Drosophila melanogaster: one gene and its partners. The protein of the gene in region 1 purifies or fractionates together with the protein of each later gene. This does not show direct contact. Each region holds a gene or a part of one and is shown in the gene's direction. Other genes may lie near its edges. The genes, in order: SmD2, SmD1 and pasha.

Region 1 (3,760 bases):
ATGGTAATGACACCATTTAAATTGTGCAAAATAGCTCGATATAAAAAACATTAATTCTACAACTAAAAAAAATTACCTATGCGGACCGCTTCAATAAAAATGTCTTCCTAGCTAATAAATATTTTAATAAAGCGAAATAAAAATATGACATTGCATTTTCCTAGTTAAATATTTTTCGTCACAAAAGATGACATCAGAACATTTTTATGGCGATGGTGCGATCGTCACTAGTTTTTAGTAAATAATGAAAAATTTAAATCCAGGAGCAGGATATGAATTAAGGAAGGAGAAAAGTCATTTTACTTAAGTCAACAGCATTTATTTTGGTCCAGCTTAGGGCTGGTCGGTCTGGCCAGCAGAACCACGTTTTCCAAAGTCACATCCCTGGGAACATAGAACTTAAGTTCTGCTTGATATCCGTGGGATCGTAGATGCTCCAGTCGTCCATAATCCAGAACCCGCTTGCACTGTTGGCCAATTTGTTCGCGCTCCTGGCGAGTTAGACGCTGCGTGTTCGTCTCGGTGAGCTGAAAGTCAGCCGATTCCATGGCCTTACGCCGCTCTCGGCTTAAGCCCGTGCCACAAACTGCCCAACTGACCATTTTGGTTAGGATAACGAACTCCCGTGGTCCAATTCCAGCTTCCTGAAGAAACTTGCGTCCCACGTAGGAGCGCCAGGAGCAGCGATGATGACAACACAGGGCGATGAGAACGTAGTCCGAGCTGGCATTTCCATCACCGAGTATACATCTCAGGGTCAAGTCTGTAGCTGCTCCACAGAGGTGCTTCGAAAAAGCCACCGTTCGTTGGGTTTTCTTTAGCTCCGGCAGAGCAGAAAGCTTAAGATCAGCGATATCAGCACGGATACGTTGCACCACCTCCCTGTTGGCCAACTTGTTGTCCTTCTTGTGCCGCAGGGACATTCGATCGATGAGGACCACCTGTGAGTGACTCAACTTCTGTTCCTGCAATACGGTGGCCAAAAAGTAGGCCAATTGTCCCTTTCCGGCTCCGAATTCTATATAGCTCGTGTGATCCATCAACTGGTGATCGTGTTCCAGGATGCCCAGCAAGCTAGTGGTCTGGGTGAGCTGGCGTAGCGTTTCCTGGCCGTAGTCCTTGCGACTAAGTTCCTCCTTTAGGGATTCGTGCTCCAGCTGCAGTTCCTGTATGCTGGAATTGATGTGCTTGTCATACAGATTCTTAACTTTGTCGATCAGACTGTAGAACTCTTCATCCGCCAGTTCGTGCAGTTTTATTTGATTGAATTTGTTCAAATCTTCGTCTGTTTCCTTAAGATTGTCTCCAGAATTCACTCCTTTTACAATGTAGGGCAGTGAACTTTCCTGATCCCTGGCATTGCAAATGGTCAAGTGTTTGGCTAGTTTTCTTTTAAACACGGTATGTTTGTGATCAAGCGGGCAGGGAATACGTTCCTGGAAGGAATCTTCTCTAGCTTTTTCATCGCAAGTTGCAGTGGTGGCTGCCGATGAGGCATGGGCTCCACAAAACTCACTGCCCTTGTTTGCAGTCATCTTGCAGCGGCGCTTTTTGCGTAACACCCAGTAGGAGCAAGTGGTGGTTACCGGCTTCTCCGCCTTGACAGTGGTCATCGTCTCTTTCACAGGTTCCATTCGTTACTTTTATTTTCAAAATAAATTCCTCCCAATTCGGAACTCGTGCCAGGCAGTGTGACCAAGGCTGGCACACTAGATAACACTATTACCAACTTTTCACAAAAATGTTTTAACTATGGTCTTAAATATGTTTACACTTCTTACATTGAATATTTTAATAAGTTTTTTAATAAAAAACTCAAATTGAGCTTGATTTTTCAAAATAATAGTTTATTTAATTTACGCGAATGCCAAACGCCGATAGTTAGCTTTGAAATTCAGGGCTGGTCGAGTGCAAACGTCCTCAGAGCTGGTAACACTGCAAAAAAAACGAAGCCGCGCTGAATACTTTTGCCAACAATAAACGCAGAAAACCAACTGAGAAGCGAAACAAGAAGACTATCAACATCATTTAACAAGCCATAGTTATAATCCGCTATGTAAGTATCCCGGGGCAGATGGGACAAACCATCGGAAATGGCGTAACTGGCAGCGGCATGTGCGCCGGCATTTTGCATTGTTAGCACCACGCTCGAGTTGTGGGTGAAATACTAATGTACTGTGTTCTCTGCAGGGCTCTTGTGAAACCGAAATCGGAGCTGACCCCGGAGGAGCTGGCGCGGCAGGAGGAGGAGGAGTTTAACACCGGCCCGCTGTCCGTGCTCACGCAGTCCGTGAAGAACAACACCCAGGTGCTCATCAACTGCCGCAACAACAAGAAGCTGCTGGGCAGGGTAAAGGCCTTCGATCGGCACTGCAACATGGTACTGGAAAACGTGAAGGAGATGTGGACGGAGCTGCCGCGGACCGGTAAGGGCAAGAAGAAGGTGAAGCCCGTGAACAAGGATCGGTTCATATCGAAGATGTTCCTGCGAGGCGATTCTGTCATCCTGGTCCTAAGGAATCCCCTGGCCACGGCGGCCGGCAAGTAGTCTACCATAGCGATAGCGTACAGCAACCAATATCCATCAACTTCAGTTAATAAATCCGTAAATCAACCAAATAAGTTCTGTGGACCAAAATGTGCCATTAATTAAAAGTGTGAGCTATAATTTACGACGGAAAATATCCCATCCCAGTAACATATCCCATTATAAATTTGTATAACGAAAGTACAATCCGTAATCGCAATTTCTTATATTTTGATTAACATCTTTTAATCGATTTTTCCTAAAGTATCTGTTTAAGATTAAAACGGAATCAATTCTCCGAAAGTTGCTTGTGCAGTTTTGGAACATAGTCGTCGTACTGGGCTTGGTAGAAAGTTCCAGCAATGGGATTGCCCAACTCGTGATTGATGGCAAACTTGGCGGCACTGAATTTGGGGCGATCCTTGCGGGATCTCTTGCTCACGCGCTCCTCGTCGAACTCAAGTTTGCCGGACTGCTTGTACAGCAGGAAGACGTAGCGATGCAGACCCGTGCCCTGGGGCGGGCCGGAGCCAATGTACTCGGCGATGGGCTCACCACTTGCCAAGTCGTTGCCGGCGATGTTGGCCAGAATCCAGTGCTTGAACTCGCGGAACTTGGGCTCCGCTCGGCTGGGGGCATCGGGATCCGTCATAATGAGCGTGTAGAACTCCCCGGGCTGCGCGTCCCACTCCACGACTGGCTGATCCTTAACCTGGGTGGGCGTTAGCTCCACTCCATCCTTGGCCACCAGGTTGTTGCTGTACGTGACCTTGAATAGGAACGATTTCACAGTTATTTGCTTGATTTTTACATTGTTGCGATCTATCAGCTACTTTACTTTAAGTTAGCTACCTTCTGACCTTTGATCAGAAAGTTGTGACGAGATATTTATCTAGATTTCTATTAAGCTCGGGTGTTAAATGTTTGAAATATTTTAACCTGGTCTGCAAGCACGTAGTTGAGTACATACTATTCGGATCCAATTTATTAAGACAAAGATATCCTCTATATATTTGGATCTTTTTAGTGTGCTTTTGTTAGTGGCCCCACCTTTAACAACTGGTTCGGCGGCTCGGGAATAACGTCGGGTACCACCTGGTGGGATCTGAAAACCTCCTCCACGGAGCCAGCTTGAACGGCCAGTAGGCAGCCCACCAATGGCAGTAGCACTCGCAGCATCTTTGTGGAGAGATTATTCGGTAGACGATAAGATCTTGAGAAAACCAATATATA
Region 2 (3,959 bases), on another chromosome or scaffold:
CCCGAGTCCTTTATATTGACATCGAGAAGCGCCAGGACATTCTTATACTTGATGAAGTCTTGACTATCGTTGTTTTCACTGCCATCGTCGTTGGATTTCAATGGCTCAGTTCTTATTTTATATCTGAAAAGATCGAAAAATGATCAGATTATTATGTTATTCCATCTTTATGGGGGCAGAAATATTTTTAGATGCTTGTGCAATAAGTTACTAACCTTGTATGGTTTTTATTAATAGTTTGGTTGCCCAGCTTCCATGCTACTGCTTCGTTTTCAGATGCGCACTCTAGAGATACGTTTTTACCTATTTCTGCCCACTCTGTAAATAAATTTCATTAAAATAATTATCAGTTTTGTATATAGACGTAATTATAGAAATTACACCGATCTAGTAGCAACATGCTTCTGTCAGCCTAAAAATATGTTAGACTTAAAATATATCTTCCTGATTAATGGTTGTGTATATTTAAATCTGATTATAGCTTCCGGGTTTTATGCGATTTAGTAAAATATTCAAATTAGAACTATATTGAAGGAAAATTTCTTATTTAACTTTCCTATTAAATTTTAAGTTTTATGATGGACACCAAGAAAGGTTTTTCTGGATGGGCGGTAAAAGCCAGACATAAAAATGAAACTACACCCACAATATTGGCCATAAAACTCGCGGTAGTAATCCGGCGTAATTTCGGAATCAACACGTATTTAGCTGAAGAAATATTACAAATATATATATATGTGATTATATTTCAGATAAATCAGATAGATGTACATAAGTATGTACGCAGAAACATAAAACGTATGTATGTACCGGGAAGTGTGTACATATGTATGCGCGACTACTTTTGTTTAGCCCCAATTGAAATCTCACCCCATCGCCGTAATCTTTGGGCGTTACCGACATAGTTCGAGTGCTACTGTATCTAAGAACTATACAACCGTCTTGTTAACCACCATATCAAATGATAATTCCAGTTTCCAACTTAATGTAAAACACTCCATTCACATTTGCAAAAACAACACAAAAAAAAAATGAGACATTGCAATTTGTTGACACCCACAAACGGTTCTTGATGTACGTATGTATGTACCAATTATGATGTTCGTCTGAGTTTTTGAAACATTACCTTGTTTCACAGATCCTTGCACACATATCGCACAAAGGAAAATATATGCAAGAATTATATTTAATAGCATCGACATGCGTCGGTAGAGTAACGCCATGGCTTGCTAATTTCTCACTCCGAGCCGGATAAATACATATGTCAAAAATTATATTCGATGTCTGCGTTGAGTTAAAAAGCTCTACTGCGTTGAACTAATGTCGCGGCGAGTGCAAAACACCGACAAATGTGTTTTATTAAAAACCAGTTAATAGACGGCGACCGCGAATAAGTATTAATCGTTATTTTCTTAACACTGGATTGTTTTTTTTTCGCGATATGCGGCGTTATCGATAAGTCAGTCGAATATGTACCCTTGGCTGCGGTTACCAAGGGATTTGGAACAACTGAATTGGAATATAATCGTATATTATAATAATATAATCGTAATCGTATTTATTAACATGAGTAATTAATAAGACACAAGTATTTATTTATAGAGCAGTATGACATTAATTGTTACTTAATTGTTGCAAATTTATAATTTATTTCTGGAATGCATTAATTCATTTATTACTTCATATTCACTTTTATTACGATTCCGTTTGGTAGCCGATATATTTTACAATACCAATGAGCGTTGCTATCTTAGCACACGATACAACAGTTCACCGCAACCACCAAATTCCAAGTAAACTAGCCGGCATTGTTTGTGCGCGTTTTTTTTTGCAGAAAACCACCAAAAACACATAAAAACATGAAATTAGTAAGGTATGTTATGCGTCATTTACCTAAACTAAAACTAAACTTGTTAGCAATGCGTGCAGTATAGTTTCATTCAGTTTTTGAGTTCTGCGATTCTGCACACATGTATGCATGCAAAAGCGATGCTCCCATTTGTTGTTTTTGTACACAAAATTTAATTTAATACGAATGTTGTTTTGATCTGTTATTATAATAGTTTTCCATTATTTACTTGTATCTGGTAACAATTCTTGCACTTTAAGTAGCATTTTGCATAACTATATTCAATGCAATCAACGCTCTTAATCCAAGGCCACCAAATACAAGCTACCTTTAAATTCGTACTAATTTGCTAAAAGTAAAGGCTCTACTAAGTATATTTCATCATAAAGGCTGCTTGCATACACCTTATTGTATCTCATTTTTCAATCACCCAATAAGATATTTGTTTCTACCTATAATAGCCTTGCATCTCTGAAATGCTGCATCTTTGCAACAGGGATTTCCTTAATTTCGTTTACTAATCTTCCCGTTGATGCATTACAGATTCCTTATGAAGCTAAGTCACGAGACCGTGACCATCGAACTGAAGAACGGCACCCAGATCCACGGCACCATTACCGGCGTGGATGTGGCCATGAACACTCACCTGAAGAGCGTTCGGATGACGATCAAGAACCGGGATCCCGTCCACCTGGAGACGCTGAGCATTCGCGGCAACAACATCAGATACTTTATACTGCCGGACAGCCTGCCGCTGGAGACGCTCCTCATCGACGACACCCCGAAGTCGAAGACAAAAAAGAAGGACAGCGGCCGCGTGGGAAATCGCGGCAGGGGCAGAGGCGCCCGCGGACGAGGTGGTCCACGGGGTCGCGGAAGGGGCCGAGCTTCAGGCCGACGTTAATCTTTGTAACAGCTACATCTAATAAACAATATTCGATAAATATAGAATATAAATATTCTTTGGATAAATCCACACTGTATGCATTTACTATGTACGAACAACTGACAAATGTCTTCAGCTAGTAAAGAAACTCCATCTGAATATGTATATTGTTAAAAATCACTCTGTGTAGTAGCTCAGGAAAAATGTGTTTACTTGGCAACAAATTGAAAGAAGACTCCCGCCATTAAATTATGATTAAAAATGTTTGAAAGTTTGTAAAAACGCTTTTTTATACTTTTAATTGTTTTTGGACGCACAAAATGTCTTTCAAATGTTCAACAATAGTAGGAGAAAACTGTGTTACTTAAGCTAGGCTATAGATTCAAATATATTTACTACTGCCATTAGGATGCGTGGTGAACAATGAAACAAACGACAATGTTAAACCCATGAAATGGGCATCGCCTTAAAACTGGTTAACTTAAGAGATTCTACTTTAAGTAACGGATTGGAAAACATATCAAAAGAAACAATAGATATAGGGATAATGGAGTAACCCTCACTTTAAAACCCATTATTAAGGACAAAAAAATATAAGTGATTTGTTTAAGTTTTCAAAGGCAGGTTGAACCGGTTCCGATAATATATCGAAATGTCAAATTGTGGAACTTGCTCCGATCAATTATCGCTATTCGGGTTCGGATACCCGCTAAAAGTAAGGCGCCAATTTTAAATCTTAAAATTTAAATTAGGAATGTCTTTTGATAACACAATTTTTTATTTTATATTTTTAACTCAAGTTCACAATTGCTCAAGCTTCACAGCTCTATTGCTTTCCTTTGAAGTCTGGTCAGAGCCGGGAATTTGTATATATTTGTTCGTTTATGGTTTAATTGAGAATGTGATTTTGGCTGCAGCTGTTGTTGCTTTGCTTTGCATACTAAGTTTGTTTGTTTAATAATCGTGCACCATATATATACATATATATATACACTTGACGGTTATTGGATCTCTGCAGTGTTAGGATTGTTAAAAGTCGTAACTTATCGTAATTTATGCTTTTGATGAACATCATTTGAGGGATAACATACAACTATGACACAGGTAAATATTTAAAAATTAAAATTTTTTTCCACAATGTTATATTTTCGGTTACCTTAGTGCCTATATAATTGCTTTGTTTGCATTCAATCTGACTCAATTACCTTTTCTGTATCTTTTTCT
Region 3 (6,790 bases), about 25 Mb from region 1:
CAGTCTGGCATTGCCAAAGGAGCAACAATATGAAAAGCAGAGCAATTTTCTGATTAATTTTTTCTTAAGTGTTACTAAATAAATAAGTTTAAAAATGCCGAATCGTAATTGCCGGACTTGCGGCCTGTTCATTTTCTGTTCGACGCCCAGTAACCTCTTCGAGGAGCCCAATTCCGTAATGCTGCACCAGATCGAGGTTCTTACTGGTTTGTTTGTGAGTACCTTTCTATTTTTGTGTTTTCAAACTTAAGTCTGGATTATCCGTAGTTGCTCGGCGGACCCGGGAACGAGCTGCCCCCCTTTATTTGCTCACCCTGCGAATTGGACCTGCAGACGGCGATTGCTTTCCGGGAACGTGTGATTCGAACCCAAAAAACGCTGCAGGAAAGTCCCAACCTGGGGAACGCGGAATTGATCGAATCCTTCGCAGTTGGTGTGGAGAAGGAGATTCAGTACGCTGAAGAGGTCACCGAGATCGAGGTTATAGACCTTCTACCCGAGGAACACCTGCTGGAAGAGACGGAAGAGCCGTACGAAATATGTGAGCAGAACGAGCAGCCCCAAGTGAAGGTTCCTGCGCAGGAGAAGAAGCTCCGCAGAAGTACAAAGACCACGCCCACAGTCTTTACCTCCGTTAAGTTTGCGGACAATAGCCAGGCCACGCGCACCCAGTGGAGCAGACTCACCGAGGACGAAGTGGTGGCCCTAAAGCGGGAGCGACGCAAGCGGGATTGCATATGCGAGCAGTGTGGCCGGCACTTCACCTGCCCCAGCAACTTCAAGTTGCACCTCCTCCGACACACCGGCGTAAAGAGCTTTGCCTGTGACCAGTGCTCCCAGCAGTTCTACACTGCTACGCTTCTGCGGCGCCACCAAGAACTGCATGCGGGGAATGCTTTGTTTCAGTGTCGCTACTGCGAGGCAACCTACAGCAACGCCAGCGGACGCATCCAGCACGAACGCATGTACGACAGAACTCGTTCCCATTCATGAAACGTCTAATGCTTTTCACATATTTCTGACCACTTTCCATTTCATCAGGCGCCACACGAATGTCAAGCCCTTCACGTGCAAGGAATGCAATAAAAGCTTTGCCATGAGCGGAAAACTCCGCACGCACATGCTGAGTCACACCGGAGTGCGAGCGTTCCAGTAAGATCTTAGTTACCTGAAGTTTTATTGAGGATCCTTGACTCTGTTTATCTGTTTTTCAGCTGCGACTCCTGCCAAGTCTCCTTCGTTCGCCGCTCCCACCTGACCTCCCACTATCGCTCAAAAGGTCACGCCCACACTTCAAGCGCCCAGGCGGCACTGGACAATCCTGTGGAACTGGACGTGAAGGCCAGTAACGGCATGCAGACAGGGGCTAAGGATGAGGCTTTACTAGGAAAAAGTGGATCTTAGGATAAACTGTACTAAAAATCAATGGATCCCCGATCTGATATTCGGATTAATACTCAATGCACTTAATATTAATCGAAAATGGAATATGTTCAAATATGGCTGTGTTGAATAAAAACTGATTTTTTCAAAATGGCCAATAGAGATTACCTTACTTAGGCTGCGCACTAATTTTTAGTTACATTATTTTTATGTTTTAAAATATAATAAAATCTAAATTCGAACATTGTTTACCGGCTTGGGGAGTAGCCAGCATTTTAAAATGTCATGAGCCTGGTCACACTGTCTTGCACTAAATAAATTAGGGGGCGTCTTTAAATTGCAAAATTTCTTGCAAAATCAGTAGAAAAGTGCTTGGAGCTGCTGTTACAATAGATCCTAAGACCAAACGTTCTTCTCCGGAGGATAATACCTGGAACCATCACTAACCCCAATTCAAAAGTGTCAATCTGTTTCCGCAAAACTGCATGTGGTGTTTGTTTCGCTTGTTTGGTTATTTTTCCCAACTAACATCCTCTCTCTAAAATCTCGATTTCGTACTTGAATTGCGCAGCTTTTGCTTTGGGATTTTGTCCGACAATTAGGCAGAATCCATAGCGAAAGACGCAGCAAGTAGCATCGTTTACAATCCGCGAAAGTGCAGTCGCAGAATTTTCCGGCGGGGCTTCTGGCTTAACCAATGTGGCACTTCCAATGAGAAATCAATTGCAAGGCGTTGGATGCTCTCAGTATTGGTTATTGGCGAGATTGGCCCCGGGACAGCATTACTAGACAGTTCCGATCAGTCCGCACTAAACCCCTCCCGCTTTAGACACACACATCCAATACAATGGCGGAGAAGCCGCTGGCCGACTGCCCGGACTCTGGGCAGGTCCGCAAGCGTCCCCGGCTGGAGGACGAGGAGCAGGAGCTCAAGGTGGCCGGCTTTTCGCTGAGCGCCATCGAGGAAATGCGGCGGACCAGGGACAACGAGCTGCAGAACGAACCCATGGACCAGCAACTGCGACAGTTCCAGGTTCTCGACGAAGTCGGCTCTGGCAGCGATGAGGATGATGAGTCAGGTGAGTCGGAAACGAAGCTCGGATATTCACTCAGGTCATCCAGATCACAGGCTGTGCAATTACCACCTTTTGTTTCACAGTGCAGGCGCAGTTCTTATCTCAAGATCTTGGGGGCCTATCATTGTGCAAATACAGGAGGCTGATAAAAGAGTCAGCCGGCAGGTTAAACCCTGATATAGCAGCTTCAGTTTTCCTTTATCTTATTGTAAGGCAGGTGGTGGCAGTTTTGTGCGGACAGTTCCATGCGCATGATACCCATTATCCGACTGGCTTGTCCAGTTGCGTCAGGTAGAGCCAGTAATAATGAAGGATCACTTTAATTAAACATCAAAGAGCTAGACAATTAGGTGCCAATGGCATTCATTCAAATATTCCGTGAAGATGGCCATCAACTTCGCGGCTGGTTTTCCATTTCCCAGACAAACAGACAACTTATTTATCCGTGATTGTATCTCCTTACATGGCAACCAGACAACGCTAGCGAGCAGCAGGGCGGAAGGTATGGAGAAGGAGGCGACGAGGAGGAAGAGGCGGCTGATGGTGACGGCGAAGAATACGATTCCTCGGAATTCGATGATGACGAGATCGAGAATCTGCTGGACGAGAAGCTGCCCGAAGAGCTCCGCGAGTCAAAGCAGCCCAAATACGAGCAGCGTTTCAAGACTGTGCTGGAAGGTCAGTGCTTTTCGTCGAACCAAGTGTCCAAGATGACGAGTATTTTAATGTGACTACTCTTTTAGAAAAGCGCCTCAACCACTTTGAAGTCCTACCCGAGGGATGGGTGCAGGTGACCCACAACAGTGGAATGCCGCTCTTCTTGCATCGCAAAACTCGCGTCTGTTGCGCATCGAGGCCCTATTTTCTCGGCACTGGAAGTGCCCGCAAGCATGCAGTGCCCTTGGGAGCAATCCCCTGTCTTAACTACAGGCGGGCTTTGGAGGAAGAGTCGGAGGTGGAGCAACAAAAGACGGATGGAGCGCCGCCAGTGGCTGTATGTCCCATGGCCGGAGCTTCCGCTTTACCGGCCGAAGCCATGGACGTGGAGGGAAAAGAGAACAACGAAGGCAGCACCGATTCCAAAACCCAACCAGATGGAATAACTGCCCTTATGCCGGCTGCTAAAATTGTTACGGTCAACGAGAATACCCAAAAGGAATCCATTACACCGGAGCAACTAAACACCTACTGCCAGAAACTCTTCAAATTCAAGGTGATTCGTGTGCTGCGATTTCGGAGTTGGAATGCTCGCCGCAAGTTCACCAAAAACCGCAAACACATCAAGAATATTCAACGACCCACGCTGCCGGATGGCACTAAGCTTATTAAGTTCCCAATACTAGCGAATGCTGGCGAAGGATCAACGAACCCGCGCGGTCGGAAGGAGTGGATCATGAATCCCAATGGCAAGAGCTTCGTCTGCATCCTGCACGAGTACGTGCAGCATGCTCTGAAAACGCAGCCCACCTATGAGTTCAAGGAGCTCCAAAACGCAGCCACGCCTTACTCCGCCACCGTATCGGTGAACAATCTCAAGTATGGCACGGGCTATGGCACCAGTAAAAAGCAGGCCAAGTCAGAGGCGGCTCGGGAAACGCTGGAAATACTCATTCCCGATGTCAAGGACAAGATAACGGGCAACAATAAGGACCAAAAGAGCGGCACTGCGAAGAAAGCGCAGAGCGATCTGTCTGTAAGCAATCTACCTATAGAAAATGGAACCACTTCTTATTTTTATATTTCTTGCAGGTTTTCGATGACATCCGCATCGAAGATCCCCGAGTCACCGAATTCTGCAACAAGACGACGGAGCCATCTCCCAACGCCATTCTGCTGACTTGCTTGCAGCGCAACTACGGCAGCGATGTTCAGATCAGCCAGGAGATCAACCGCACCGCGAATAACAAGAACGAGTTTACCATGACCGTGGGCAAACATACTGCCAAAGTGGTGTGTAAAAACAAGCGGGAGGGCAAGCAGTTGGCTTCGCAAGCAATCCTCCAGGTGAGCATTGATATTTCTTTATAACTTTACTTATAGCTATTGAGTTAACCTTTCGTCAGATTTTGCATCCGCACATCCAGACCTGGGGTTCCTTGTTGCGCCTCTACGGCAACAACTCCATAAAGACCTTCAAGGAGAAGAAGCTGGAGGAGCAGGAGATCACCGTGCTGCAGAGCAAGGCGGCAGTCAACCAACCCAACTACGCCATACTGGACAAACTTAAATCCGAGATGTTGAAACTGTGTGCCAAGCAGGAGAGCGTCCTAACCATGGGCACTTTTGTGCCGCCAAGCGACGTCGATCTGCCCACTTCCTCCGGGTCCAATTTGAACAACGTGGAACTTTGATTGGGAAACACACATCTCTCTCGCCAACATTGATTCTCTAGTAGTGCATGACAACCTCCTAGTCTCTTAGTTACCCACCCATTTCCATATTCGAAAAGCTAATGACAACAACGACGCGTTCTCTAGAGGCATACGAACTGATTTCAAATCGGCTTCATCTATCTGAGCTGGTTAATCTGAAGTGGCTTTAGCAAGTGGCCAAAAATGAAGAACAATTGCCTATCAAGTGGTTTTACATTAAGGTAAATTCATCACTAAATTTGCCAAATATAAGTAGTTCATGCTTGCAATAGCTAAGATTAGGGGTTCAATTTCACTTGTATAATATAAGCTTGAATAAAATACTATTAAAAACGCAGTCCTTTATATTTGAGTATAGAGATGTTCGTCTAAGATCTTTATCTGCAATACCAATTAAAAAAGTAGAGTTCTTAAGTATTTGACAACTATTCATTTGGGCAGACAGCAGGACAATTATTTGCTCATGATTTGTTTATCAAATTTCCTCGTAAATCTTCTCGTATCGCTTTCATTCTTGGAACGTTCAAACACCATTGACCCGTAACCAATTTGGAAGACATTTTAAAAAGTCGTATGGAATATAAAAAAATGCATATTTACATGGCCATTAGGATTCTCGGGTGTTTTTAGGCGGTCGGTCGTTAGGTGAGTGGATGTTAATATTTAAGGCGGTGGGCAGGGTGTAGGTTCGTAGGTGTGTGTGCGTGCAATTATTTAAAAGACGATGCAGTCATAAATTATGCTACATTTTCATTTCATTCTAACGTTTCCTTTTTTATAGCATTCCAACGAGCGTGGCACACACACATACCCACCACGGAGAATGCGGAGAGACAGTCGCAGAGAGAAAGTCCGAGAGAGAGAGCGCGGGAGAGCGGCGCAGGCGCAGATCCCGGATTTTGCGCAGCAGCCATGCTGCGAGATGAATTGTGGCGAGTTCTGACTTGCCAATTCGCAGGCCATATCTGTATCTTCAGTACGGATTCTTCGCGTGGCGAGAAAACCACTTCCCGGCGCTCCTATCCTCAGGACTTTCGTCTGGGATTTGTAATTGAATCACAGTAACTCGGGACAGACCGAAAAAAAAAACGGGGAGAAAAACAGAAAGCCAAGAGGTGAATTCGGTGGTACAGCTGAAAAAAGGCCAACTGCAGTGCAGAGCAGAATCATTTTTATTGACATTCATCTTAGTTGCCCCCTCATCCCTCGGTGCCCCCAAAAAAACCAACTTCATAGCCCCCCAGTTCCTCGATTCTCGACTCTCGACGTTCGATTCCCGGTGCTCGTGTGTCGCGTGTTGCAAGTGCGTGGGTCGCGCGTCAAATCAGTGGATGTAGCAAGCGGTACGACACGCGCGCCGTTTTTGATTTTTCGCCCAGCGGCCCAGAAATCGGGCCTGGGAAAAAAGTGCGGATATTCGGTGAAAGACGGAGCACTCGGAAAATAAACGGAAAATCGGGTACACACACGCACTCCTGTACACCGTGTCCAATGCATTTGGCCCGCTTGGCCCAAGCACTCGGAGATATGTAAATTATGCCAAATTCCATTGGAATTTCCGTCAGAGCCAGTGAATCGGTAAGCAGCAGCCGCCGGAGCAGCAGAAGGCGGAGGACGCAGGACGCAGGACGCAGGAGCAAGCCAGTAGCAGCAACAAGGACTGGAGCAACAGCAGTAGGCGAAGGTAAGCGGTAGCGCATTAGGCGCCAAGTGTCAGCGGAGAATGCTGGAAAATTCAATAATCCGCCGCAGGGCGCCCGTTTGTCCCCCTCGTGCCACACGTCCTCCTCGCCGTCCGCCTGCCCGTCTGCCCGAAAAACCCACTCCACGCTTGCCATCTGGGCGCATACCGAATGAACTCGTGCACGGGCAGAAAAAAGTGGATACTACTTTATTTTGGACTGAAAAATTGATGGTGGAATTGTGCTTTACGGTCATTGTCTTGGAGTTTGTGCAATT

Evidence for each region.
Region 2: the proteins of SmD2 (region 1) and SmD1 purify together in Drosophila melanogaster (affinity purification with western blotting; 2 studies listed by BioGRID, with this or other methods). This does not show direct contact.
Region 3: the proteins of SmD2 (region 1) and pasha purify together in Drosophila melanogaster (affinity purification with western blotting, with the first as the bait; one study listed by BioGRID). This does not show direct contact.

Annotation. Positions count from the first base shown.
Region 1 is NT_033777.3:6,344,067-6,347,826, reverse strand, and holds SmD2 (small ribonucleoprotein particle protein SmD2), read left to right. Parts: upstream 1-1,915; 5' UTR 1,916-2,054; coding exon 2,055-2,056; intron 2,057-2,190; coding exon 2,191-2,548; 3' UTR 2,549-2,816; downstream 2,817-3,760. Other genes in the region: CG18048 (uncharacterized protein), read right to left, coding at 309-1,634; CG17919 (uncharacterized protein), read right to left, coding at 2,817-3,296, 3,578-3,706.
Region 2 is NT_037436.4:12,732,417-12,736,375, reverse strand, and holds SmD1 (small ribonucleoprotein particle protein SmD1), read left to right. Parts: upstream 1-1,764; 5' UTR 1,765-1,859; coding exon 1,860-1,873; intron 1,874-2,392; coding exon 2,393-2,753; 3' UTR 2,754-3,012; downstream 3,013-3,959. Other genes in the region: Ptp69D (protein tyrosine phosphatase 69D), read right to left, coding at 1-123, 216-318, 1,127-1,223. UniProt on the Drosophila melanogaster protein: Plays a role in pre-mRNA splicing as a core component of the spliceosomal U1, U2, U4 and U5 small nuclear ribonucleoproteins (snRNPs), the building blocks of the spliceosome.
Region 3 is NT_033777.3:31,616,308-31,623,097, forward strand, and holds pasha (partner of drosha), read left to right. Parts: upstream 1-2,120; 5' UTR 2,121-2,230; coding exon 2,231-2,462; intron 2,463-2,681; exon of another isoform or gene 2,682-2,704; coding exon of another isoform or gene 2,705-2,750; intron 2,751-2,933; coding exon 2,934-3,137; intron 3,138-3,202; coding exon 3,203-4,152; intron 4,153-4,208; coding exon 4,209-4,463; intron 4,464-4,522; coding exon 4,523-4,810; 3' UTR 4,811-5,052; exon of another isoform or gene 5,053-5,167; intron 5,168-5,612; 3' UTR 5,613-5,910; downstream 5,911-6,790. Other genes in the region: CG1792 (uncharacterized protein), read left to right, coding at 95-214, 268-965, 1,042-1,152, 1,215-1,404.